Caenorhabditis elegans: one gene and its partner. The protein of the gene in region 2 interacts with the protein of the main gene of each other region in a pairwise test. Each region holds a gene or a part of one and is shown on either strand. Other genes may lie near its edges.

Evidence for each region.
Region 1: the proteins of pal-1 (region 2) and let-756 interact in a two-hybrid assay, tested with the Caenorhabditis elegans proteins (one study listed by BioGRID).

The regions. Positions count from the first base shown.
Region 1 is NC_003281.10:6,405,252-6,410,560, reverse strand, and holds let-756 (Protein let-756), read right to left. Parts: upstream 3,433-5,309; 5' UTR 3,425-3,432; coding exon 3,335-3,424; intron 3,067-3,334; coding exon 2,995-3,066; intron 2,946-2,994; coding exon 2,899-2,945; intron 2,693-2,898; coding exon 2,296-2,692; intron 1,993-2,295; coding exon 1,927-1,992; intron 1,883-1,926; coding exon 1,776-1,882; intron 1,725-1,775; coding exon 1,596-1,724; intron 1,339-1,595; coding exon 969-1,338; 3' UTR 528-968; downstream 1-527. Other genes in the region: C05D11.5 (Putative hydroxypyruvate isomerase), read left to right, coding at 1-35, 121-190, 282-460. UniProt on the Caenorhabditis elegans protein: Required for larval development. Probably by binding receptor egl-15, negatively regulates membrane protrusion from body wall muscles during larval development.
Region 2 is NC_003281.10:4,804,201-4,810,707, forward strand, and holds pal-1 (Homeobox protein pal-1), read right to left. Parts: upstream 4,510-6,507; 5' UTR 4,509-4,509; coding exon 4,378-4,508; intron 3,902-4,377; coding exon 3,826-3,901; intron 3,772-3,825; coding exon 3,484-3,771; intron 3,160-3,483; exon of another isoform or gene 3,011-3,159; intron 2,949-3,010; coding exon 2,846-2,948; intron 2,672-2,845; coding exon 2,500-2,671; intron 1,054-2,499; coding exon 1,011-1,053; 3' UTR 509-1,010; downstream 1-508. Other genes in the region: rRNA N(6)-adenosine-methyltransferase metl-5, read left to right, coding at 38-144, 195-322, 373-486; C38D4.7 (C2H2-type domain-containing protein), read right to left, coding at 5,922-6,068, 6,113-6,167, 6,214-6,507. UniProt on the Caenorhabditis elegans protein: Transcriptional activator. Interacts with promoter regions for tbx-8.9, tbx-9, elt-1, hnd-1, scrt-1, and vab-7 genes. Binds the sequence ATTTATGAC. Binds to the enhancer region of the hlh-1 gene promoter during embryonic body wall muscle development.

The DNA of each region.
Region 1 (5,309 bases), 1.6 Mb from region 2:
AAATGGATCAATCGAATAATTTGAAAATTCAATATGTAAGTCAATAGAACATAAAACATCGAATTTTATGCACAATTTTTTTTGAAAATAAGAATTCGAAAAGTAACTGTAATTTTTCAGGACACATTCCACGCTCAACAAATCAACGGACAAATTGGAGCAATTATGAGAAAGCTCAAAGATTATATTGGTTAGTTGAAAAGGATGATGATGAAAATAAGCTTACGCCCTATTTTTCTGAAATTACTTTTTCATTCGTCGATTTTTTTCGAGTTTTTCAGGCTATATTCAAGTGGCTCAAGTTCCAAATAGAGGTGCATGTGATACACGCGGAGAAATCGATTATCATTTTATTTTCGATGAAATCCGTTCGATCAATCCATCATGGGTTATTGGTGCTGAATATTTGGATGCAAAGCCTTCATTCAATTGGATTGAGAACATGTCTCTAAGTTTTTGAATTACCTGTCTTTGTAAATTCGCTCCATTGATAATTTTTTTAAAATAACAATACATATTTTTCAAATATATATTATTCATAATAGTAAGTTACAGTATGTTCAAAATACAAAACCCGTGAGTATGGAATGAGACACGTGGCGAGTTGGGGGTGTTTTAGAGAGACTTGGAAAACATACTTAAAAGGGGCGAGCTTGGGAAGAAAAACAGTAGTGTACGCAAATTGTCGTATTTAGAGCATGGTGTGATTTTAAGAGTCTAATACAGAAATATTATGAAGGTAGAAATAGAAAATTAGAAAATTCGTTGTGTGTTTCAATATTCACAAGAAAGGGTTTCATTTCTAAAGCACCGTGCCTTACGAACTTCACGACAATGTACTGCGCTTCTTCTCAAAATCAGCCCTGATAAAAAATTAATTAAGCAAAAGAAGGCAGGAAGAAATGGAAAGAAAATGAGAAGATCATGATGATAGATGCTGTGCGGGGTATCATAAGAAGAGAGATCGTTCACGGGTATCGTTGATAGTTAACATTCTGACGGTTTGGATTTGACACTGTCTGAGCTAGATAGTGTTGTTGTGATTGATGACGTTGTTGAGGGTCTGATGAAGAGCTGACACGTGGATGGTGATGATGATGGTGATGGGAATTGTGATGAGGAGCCTGTGTCACTGGAGACTGCCAATATGGATTGTATGCAGGTCGTGGAGATTGTACTGTTGATCTTGTTGGAAGAGGTCGATACGTTGGATAAGGATTCGCTGGATTTTGAGGACGATTGTACCGAGTTTGAGTAGATGCTTGTTGCTGCTGTTGTTGTTGATAACGACGTCGGAGTTCTTCTTCACGAAGACTTTTGAGCTCTTGGCGACGGGCTCTGAAATACGTTTGATAATTGGTATAGATCTAGGAAAGTCACACGTGGAATCATCATAAATGTTTCAAATAGTTTTGTGCTACCTGGCATTGAATTTATTTTTGCCGCTCAAAAACTGAAACGGAACGATACCCAAAAAAAGCCATTTCAGTCTGGCTTCAAATCTTAAAAACCAAAAAAATGTTCTGCTATTTTTCAATACTTTCATAATAATTCTCAGTTCTCTGCGCTTTCTTTTTCTCAGAATAATAACTAACTCTCTAATTTGTTCCTCTTTTCTTAATCGATCTTCTCTCCTTCGTTTCTTCTTTTCTCTTCGTCTTTTCTTTTCTTCTAATAATCTTTGCTTCTCAGCTTGGTTCGTCATTTCCACTTTTGCTCGTAAACTACAAAAATTTCATTAGCTCTAATCTGATACTTTTGATATAAATGCTTACTTTGAAATACGATGTGGATTTGGTGGTTTTGTAACGGTCTGCTGTCGGAATAATGGATGACTGGGAGGTTGGTGAAAGAGTGAAGCAACTACCAGATCGGTTACGTCCTGAAAATCAAAAAGTTGAAACTGTATGTCTCGAAAAAACTCACATTTCCATTTGGAACGGGACTTCGTAACCGGTCAAGATCGTGATGAACAACTAGAAAATGGCTCGCCTGAAATATACGGATAATGTATTTCAATCAAAAAAAAGTGCACACGGATTTCTTTATGTATCTAGCTACAGTAGCCGCGAGTACGGTAGGAACTTATTGAAACGAGAGAAAAGTTAATGTACATATCAGGAAATATTCGCTCGTTCCAGACCTCGAGCTTCTAATTTTTGGTAAAAACCACATTTTCTTGCGAACATATGCTCGAAAATATACTTTAATCGGGTTTTAAAAATTATTTTTCTAAAATGTAATAATATCTCCGATACGAGCTGTCAAAGCAGAATGAGTATATATTTCACTTACTTTCCGACGTTTTTTTGAATTAGGACCTCTCCTTGGTTTTCCACTCCGTCGTAATTCAATATACCAGGGATTAAACCTGTCACCATAAGCACAAGACGCATATAAATTGTAATAATTTTCCATCATTTCTTCGAGAAAAACGCATTCTGTTGAATAATTAGATGATGGTGTTGCATATAATTTCCCCGATGGATCCATACAAATGAAATTCTTTGTTTCAACTCCTCGAATCGATACAAGACTCATTGCCACTGACACAAACTCCACTATACTGAATTTGGAACTCTCCTCTTTTGTTCCATGAACTTTGACACGTGTCGATCCATCGTCAGGATTTTCGATAGGAAGCATCTCCAACCAGGTTCCCGAACGACAAAACAGGGCTCCGCGGCGACGGCTGGAAGTAGAAATTAGTCAAAAACGCAATGCCTTTGAAATCATTGGCAAGTTTTAATTTTTGATCATGATCACTTCGATTAAAAAAATGTTTTTTGTTGTTTTTGATAAATTGTCGTTGCCCTGTGAAAGAAAACAAATTTCAAGAATTGAGTAAAAAATCCGAGATCCCTTGTTACAAAAAGTTTGAAAAGCTTAAAAACTCACTCATCAGCAGGTGGATACCCATTTTCTTCTTCATCTTGTAGTTGTTTCTGGAAACCATTTTCAAGTTTACAACTGTATCTCTAATTTCAAACTCACTCTGATCCGGTCCACTCGATACGGAGCACATGAATTTATACGATCGGTTACAAAATTTGAATTATAGAATCCCTGAAAATTTATTTCTAAGTTTCAGTTCATATCTTAACTTTGAAAAAGTAATCAATTTGTGGGAGAAAAAAACATTATCCTAGATTTTCTAGTGTGCTATAATTTTTTCCAAAAAACATAGAGGTGTCAGATTCTTAAGTTACTGTATGAATATTTCAATTTTTGGTTTTTTCACATTTTGAGTACATATAGCTTGAACTTCCAAACGTTCTTAATTCAAAAAAAAATTAAAAAATTAAACATTTATGGTTAAAAGAAGTAAACTTACCGCAAGAAAAGGTGTAACTGGTGTTGTCAAAAAGTTAGAAGTGGCTGCTCCTCCGTATGAAACTATCGATGAGGCGGCAGGAACGGCCATATATTCATCTGAACATTTGAAGAAATTGTAATGATTTGGAAATATTGAAGAACGAGGAAGTAAGAGTCAATAAATGAGAAAAAGGGCAAGTACAGAGATTCGGGAGCAAACAATCTTCACCTCCGCCTCCACTCCTTTTCTGGCACGAGTTTGCACTCAGGCTCAGTTGGGAGAAGGCTCAGGCTTTCTTGCAAAATGGAAAATTGTGATGAAAAAAAAACAAATAGAACGGTAAGATTGGAATGAAGGAATGCAACAATGAAAGAGAGTCTATTGAGAAAACAGATAAATAGAAACAGATCACAATGACCAAGTTCAATAAGATGCAAAATAGAGTTTAGAGTTTGTTCGGGGGCATTAGAAGTATCTTTGAATAAAAACTTTAAAAAGAAAGAAGATTATTAATATTCTATCTTTATATTTGGAAAAAAGTAGTATACTACTAATTTAAAATCCGATAATCATACAACAAGTTCAAAAATTTATAACATTACAAATTTTTTATAAGAAAGTGATTAAGAATTTTGAGAAATATGAAAGTATTTTTTGTAATCTAGTTTTTGTGAAAAGCCACATATTTTGCTTGCAAATTTCCAAAATGTTTATTTTTCCCAAAAAAGTTGTTGCTCAACTTTAAATGTCTTATGGTTCACTCAACAGATTTTAGAGTAGGTAAGAGGCAGGTGTAGGCTCTGCATTTAGGAGTTTTTGTGTATCTGTGGAAAATTTCAACAACGGTTTTTTTTTCCGAGAAAACATATGTAGTTTTGGCAAAGTGATTTGAACCGATTGAATCATCACAAATTTTCACAAGTGACGACAAAGTTTTGAGATCATATTTACACAGTTGTTCATAACATTTGTTCAAAATAAAAACACAAAAAAAAACTTCAAAAAAGGAGGAAAAATAGATCAAAATAAATGAAAAGAGCATCAAAATGTGTAGGATCTCTAGGCTATAACAGAAAAATACCATTTTGGAAAAATGCCAATTTGTAGAGATTCCCAGAATAGTGTCATATTTGTAAATAAAAAACATCCCCCGCAAACAATACTCTTCCGAAAATGAATGAAATTTGAGCTAATAAAGTATGATGCATTTGGAAAAATAGTAGAAAGCGATACTATTCTGAGGAACTAAGAATGACGTTCGATAAAAAATGAGCAGAAATAACACATAATAATATGGTTCAAATTTATAGCAAACATGAAATTACGAATTCCATGGTAAGTTAAGAATTATTCACATTTTCACGTATGTGGAGATGGATATGTGAAAAGTAGATGATTAGTTTGACAAAAGTAAGTTTGGAAAAAAATAAGTGTTTTTTTGGAATACTGGAATGAAGTAAATTTATATTGTCTTACTGTTAGAAAAATGAAAACATGTTAAAAAATGCTTAATTGAAAAAAAGCATAAACCGAATACGGTATTTCATGAATAGGTATACGGAACAGTCGTGGCAAGACCCATTTATGAGAATCTAGAAATATATTTAAATGTCTGAGTGTGAAAACTTGAAAACTAAAATCCTATAGTACCCGAAAAATCATATGACAGAAGAAAGATCAAGAAAAATATGAGTAATAGTTGATGTAGGAAAAAGAAAGAAATCGAGGATGAAACGTGTGAGATAATAATTGATAATCAATGAGGATACAAAGACTCTTTCTCTCTCACTCTCGTAGTCCGAATCCCGCGCGTCTTAGTCCGTCTGAGAAGATGATAATGGTGAATGAAGAGACGACAGATTATCAACGAGACAGTTGGCTTCTTCTTCTTATTCAAAAGAGCTCCCGTCCTCTATGTTTTATCATCATCATCATTATCACAAAACGACTGATCTTCAAGTGAAACACGAAGAAACTGCTCTCAGGGATTGGG
Region 2 (6,507 bases):
GTAATAATAAAAAATTAAAAACTTTCAATTCTTCCAGATGCGAGCTTCTACAAGCCGACATTCTCGACCCGGAATCCGATCTTCCACGTGGCACATTCGACGTGGCTGTCATTAATCCTCCATTTGGAACAAAAAATAATGCAGGTAAATATCCAACGATCTCCTAAAACGTTACAATATCTTAAATTTCTCAGGAATCGATATGCAATTTGTCCAAATCGGTCTTCAAATGGTTCGGCCTGGTGGAAGTGTATTTTCACTTCATAAATCATCAACTAGAGATTATATTCTAAAAAATGCAAAGAAATGGGACGGAGTTGGGGTTTGTTTTTAAATTATTCTAAAATTAGAAAAAAAAATATTGAGTTTCAGGCAGAATGTTGTGCAGAAATGCGGTGGCAACTACCAGCGACTTACAAATTCCATAAACAAAAGGCCGTGGATATTGCCGTCGATTTAATACATTTCAAAAAACTGGATAGTTAATCTCATCAATTTCTGCTGTAAATTCTTCAAAATTGTTTCATTGTTTTGTTATAAAAAATATGCAATCAAGATATGTGAGAAAAGCAAAGAATTCTCTAAACTTTTCCAAAAAATAGAAAACATGTTCAAAATGGATCCGTTCAGAGTGGGAAGTAAATACATAACAAATGGGGACCTAAACTTTTTCCTAAACCTTGAGAAGGGTAAGAAACAAGAAATCACAATAAATAAAGAAGCTCTATATTAGGGAATAATTCATTAGAGAATGATTGGATTAGTTTACAAAGCAGAAGGAATGATCGGAAAGTTATAAATATATATATATATATGTTAAGGGCAGTGATGATTAGAATATTCTGATGTGAGAGAATGGGAGATGGGACAGGAAGAAATTATATAAAAGTGTGAATTTAACCGTATTCAAGCGAGAGAAATGTAAAAATATAATAAATGTGTACAATATTCTAGAAAAATATGAAAATTCCCAGAATTTTTGTACATTTTCTTTGTAAGTAGATGAGTACTTATAGCCGAATCTTCTGTTTGTCACGACGATCCTTTGCACGCCTGCAATTAAAAATATTACAGTATTATTACGGAAATTAACAATTTATCAGAATATATTGAGATCAAAAAGATGCCGTCCCAGTGGTGAATTCAAAAAAAATACGCTTTTCAAAGAAAAGGGATAGGGAACATCAATCTTTTGGTTTATATTCCCTTTCTTTTAATGAATACAATGACCGGTATGGTTCGTCCGTATGTTACCTCTTCCCAGGAAAACGGCGGTCACGTCTGTCCAACACAGTATGTATGTCTGTTTGGATTGGGACGCTACAGGAAAGGGACACACACATTGATTTCCATTTTACAGCACTCTGGGAATCTCTGCCGACGACGTTTCTATTCCCCTCGTAAATCTTTCGATGCGCACTAATATTGTCAAACAAGGCAACAGACAACAAAAAAAACGACTGTTGAGCAGATAATTGGTATATCTCTGCGAGCTGGTCAGAAACCCTTGCTTTATCATTTCTGTAGACTCTTTCATTGAGCTAGAACCTCACCTAATTAAATAAAGGCAAAAACTTGAAATTTGGGGCATTTTGAGTATATTTTTTTGCAAACCTACAAACGATACTCTCCCTTTAACATGCGAGTGAAGGAGATTAACAGTAGCACTTTACGGGAAGTGTTTTATCCCAATAACTTGGAAATTCGCACTAGATATCCTATTCCCTTGTTAATTTCCAAATCCCCGAACGCGTAGATAGCCACACATGCAAGCAGTGACCACCTCTCTTCTACAGTAATACCAATTAGAAAGTCGTAAACGGACCAATTAACAAACTTCATCTCTTCCTCACCTCCACCAGCACGTCTCAAACACTGTGGCCTCCAATTACACAACTTTACGACTCTTTAATTCCTTGGAACTATCTCTACTGCGCGCGTGGACTGAACTGAATCTTAAAGAACGAAAGTGTGGTGGTACTTTTTCCTATGGTTACAGTAGGAGGTGACAGTCATTGTGATGAGTCCCCTGGAAAAGCCTGAGAAAGAGTAAGCAAACAGCAAACAGCAAACAACGTATTTGGCTCGAAAGGGCGCGGAATGAATGAATTCAAATGAGATTTGCAGAGGGCAACATCATCTGTTAATTAAATGACGTTGTGAAATATGTGTCAATATTTGAAGTCTAATCTCATGATTCCAATAAACCAAATTAAACTTTCAGATCTATTAATATGACATCTCACACCATAACAATCCCAATTTGCCACCTCTCATCATATAAATTGAGGTCACTCTAACACTCTTTCACGGCTAAAGACTCTCCTGCTACCTGCCACACGGGTCGAATTGCGTAAGCACCGTAACTCATACACCGCATCACCTTTACCGCCTTTCATCTCTGTGCCAAATCAAGAAAACTTGATATTATTTTGGTGTCTTCAAATTTGTAGTAATCAATCATCCCATTTTAGGCAGTGAGTTTAAAAAAGAATCTACCTATTTTGAAACCAAATCTTGATTTGTCGTTCTGTCAAGCTTAACATCGTCGACAATTGGGACTTGCGATCTGATGTTATGAATGGCGATGTATGGAATTCTTTTTCCAGTTCAAGGCGTTGATAATCCGAGTAAACCATACGGTATTTGTCAGCTGTTCGTACACGGACATCTGAAAATAAGTTTAATTACAAACTCCCTCGTAATAAAATGGGAAATTGATGGGAAAGGAATCATAAATACTCAATTCATTTGTCCTAGTTACTGATAAATATGACTGATAGCGGCTTCTTTTTCACTTGAAGAGAGATTGTTTGCACACGGGGAGACTCTTTTGAAAACTTACTATTCGTTCCAGGTCCCGTTGGTAATGTTTTCCCATCACTGCTTGATCTTCGATCCTTTCCATGATTGTTTCCAAGAGGCATTTTCCACGAGAATCCCTGAAACTTAAATTATCTTTAAAACAAGCTCACTTGGAGGAGAACTAACAGATCAAAAATTGGCTGCTTTATTAGACTTATTAGACATTATTAGAGATATTTATTAGACAAGTTACCACAAACGACAGAATTTCCTAATTTTATGGCAGCTTAAAATATCGAAAAGAGCCAAAAATGCTGAAATCTAAAATTTTATCAACTTATCCTTGTCTAGTAGCTGAAATACAGTTTTTAGTAAGTTTTCATTTTTCATTGCATATTTTGGTAATTTATCTCGTGTTAATTCGTTGATTTAGGCGCGTTCTAAGCCGATAGGCACTGAATTTTTGTAATTTTTGGAAGTAGACTGCTTAAATCAATGAATAAACGCGAGTAGCCGTACCTAAAATATGCAATAAAAAATAAAATTCAATAAAAACTGTACCAACAATTTAGAGTCATAAAAAATGTGAACAGTTTTTGAAAAGTCTCGCTAGGAAATTATGTTTTTTGGTGTTATAAAAGCCAACAAAGGTATTAAAATACAATTTTATATGATTACCTGTTGATAATCCATAAACGGCCAAACAGATTGCTGATAACACGTGGCAGCTCTCATCTGGTAGTTGGCTGCAGCAGCAGCAGCTGCTGAAAGCTCTGAAGAAGATGCAGCTCCAGATGATGTTGATGGGAACGGTGTCATCATATCACTCGGTGATGGATACATTCCACTATCACTACTGCTACTTCCATTCGAAAGCGGTGGCTTCACATCAACGGCTTCTACTGCTGGAATTTGTCCGTTGGCAGCGAGTTGTGGAAGGCCGAATGGATAGAGATCCGGATGTCCCTGGAAATTCAATTTTTAAATAAAAAACCTTAAGGAAATTCATTCAAAACGTACGTAAAAACCAGTATCACCCATTTGTGACCACCTTCCATAGATTTGTGGATCAAATGTTGGTTGCAGCATCTTTTCTCTGAAAAAAGAAAATTAAGTATAAAATGAAAAAAAAAAACAAGAAAAACTTCAAAATATAGCACCTCCTTAATCAAATGTTCTTGTCAATTGATACACACACACACGCCTATTACCTCTTAGACACCCTCCCGCTTCATTCCAACGGTGGAAATGGGCGGAGCAATGTCTTCCAATACACTGTGGAGGCGGGGCGTTACCGTACCCTCCGGATAGATCGAAAATTTGCATATAACCTTTCAAACAAATTCTATCATCAAAAAGGCGACAATATTTGAGAATAAATACATGGTTAGCAAATATTTTGAAGGAGATAAATAAGAGAAAGGGCATGGATTTACAACCATGTGTGTGTGCTGGATTATTAAATATTTATGGTATTTAATTTTGTTCACTTGGTCGTAATGAAACACCAACAGGAAATATTTAATTTTTCGTTGATTTTGAGATTCCAAATAAAAATTTCGAAGATCTAGCCTCAGAGGATGTGGTTGCATGAATGGCATCATTGGATAGTGAGGCCACGTGACATCTGCTGGAACTGTTGTTGGTGAAGGTGTTGATGAGGACTCGTTTTCCGAAAAATCCGACTTGACATCGACCGACATTCTGAAAACGAGGAAGTAATTATCAGTTTATATAGAGAAAAGTGAACAGTAATAAAAATTCAAAATTTGAAGGAAGATTTTCGAGATTTGATGAGAATAGCAATAAAATAACGAGCTGGCAACCCGGCACCGCCTCCTGCGGCTCATTGAGCACTTGGGAAGGCGGGATTTATCAGATATGAACGGGAGAGGGAATTGTGAATGATTTATAGCCACACGTCGATTTTCAGACAAACATATCACTTTTACAATGAGACAGGTCGGCAAGGAAACAAAAACGCCCAGTTCGTTGGGAAATAAATTATTGGTCTGTGCAGGAAACTGTCCGAGACTGTATTCGAAGATGGATTTTCTTACTTTAATAAAATATGCGTTTTTAGAATTGATTTTTAGCATTGAAATTAGCAAGACAAATATAAAAGAAACGTTAAAACTCAACAGAAATGAAGAACAGAAAAAAATTAACACTGAAAAATTTTTACTGACTGATCAGCTCAATAGAGCGCACTTTCCACTTGTCGATTTACGAAGATTTTTATTTAATTTATTGTTCAATAGTTAACTTGCTGTTAAATATCTTTTTATTTAAATAAATATTTTAAAAATTATAAAATTTTGAAAAAGATTAGAAAAAATCATCTAGCCAAAAATTAAGAAAAGAAGAATTTTAGCCACTAAATTTAATTTCAATGAGATCCCGCCTTTAAAATAATTTGAAAAATAGATCACTCACCTCATATTTGATCTACTCGCCCAAATAATAGTAAGTCTACCGGCCATTGAGCCCATCTGGAATTGAGGTTCCATTACGATGTTCATTAGGAAATAAATGAGCGATGAAAGTTTAATTGAGTACGATACGAATGAGCATTTATGACTGACAGGTTCATGTGGAGCAAAGATTACGGTAGCAGAGAATTATTTCTCTTATCAGAAACGAGTGATCTATTAAATAGTTATTCTAAAAGTTGGAGATTCTTAACAAAAAATGTTGCTGAAATCGACAATTTGTCCTCCAAAGATTTGATATAAAAGGCAACAATGAGACCGCCCTTTGACTGATTATGTACCTTCTTTCAGAACATTAAACATTTACGATCTGGGAACTCTGCAGCTGTCATGAAGAACAACAAATGGAGCATCTGAAAATATCAAAGAGTCGCTTACTACTCGATTTCATGCACTATCAAGTTTGACCTGAATATGACCCGGCTGTCTGTTGCGTAATCGTTTTGCTCTTTGTGCATCTATGATACCGCCGTGAGAAGAGCCGCGTCTCGTATTTATTGCCACCCACTGTTGGGAATAGTTAGATAGCTGGTAGGAGAAACAAGATTTATTTACTATAAAATTTATTTGTATCAAAAAAGCTTAAATTTTAAAACAAAAACGAATATAAATTAAAAAAGAAATTTAACACGAGGTCTGCTTTATTCGCAGTGACCTTCTCGCCCCAAGTTCGCCGGCGTGGTTGTTTGAAAAGTGATCCACGAGCTGCTCCTTCGTCTGGGAAACTTCATTGCAGGTCCTGCATCGGAAGCTCTTGAATTTTTCAAGATCCTGAAAAACAACTTCAACTAATTTTTTATAATTTTCAGGCTTACCTTATCGTACTGAGATCCTTTCCCCACCAGCACTGCACCGATGAACACATTATCTCTGAAACTCTCATTTAAATTGAAAAAAAAAACACAACTAGAATTACCTTTCAGCAGATCGTCCATGGTTTCTGTTTTCCTCATCTCGAATCTTTTTCAACTCCTTTGCAGCATCAACAGGTGCTCCGGTCCGCTTGGCTAAATTGGATTGACGAACAACGGCAGACTTGACTCTTTTCGCTGGTTTGAGGGAGCTGGACGATGGATTCTTTTGACCAACCACATCATATGACGAAGCGTGGCTCCTATCGACACGTTCCACGAGAGAATGGACAAGTGCCATCATCTTATCCATATTTTGCTGGCTCCGCTCGTCGGCCTTCTCTCTTTCAGCTCGATGC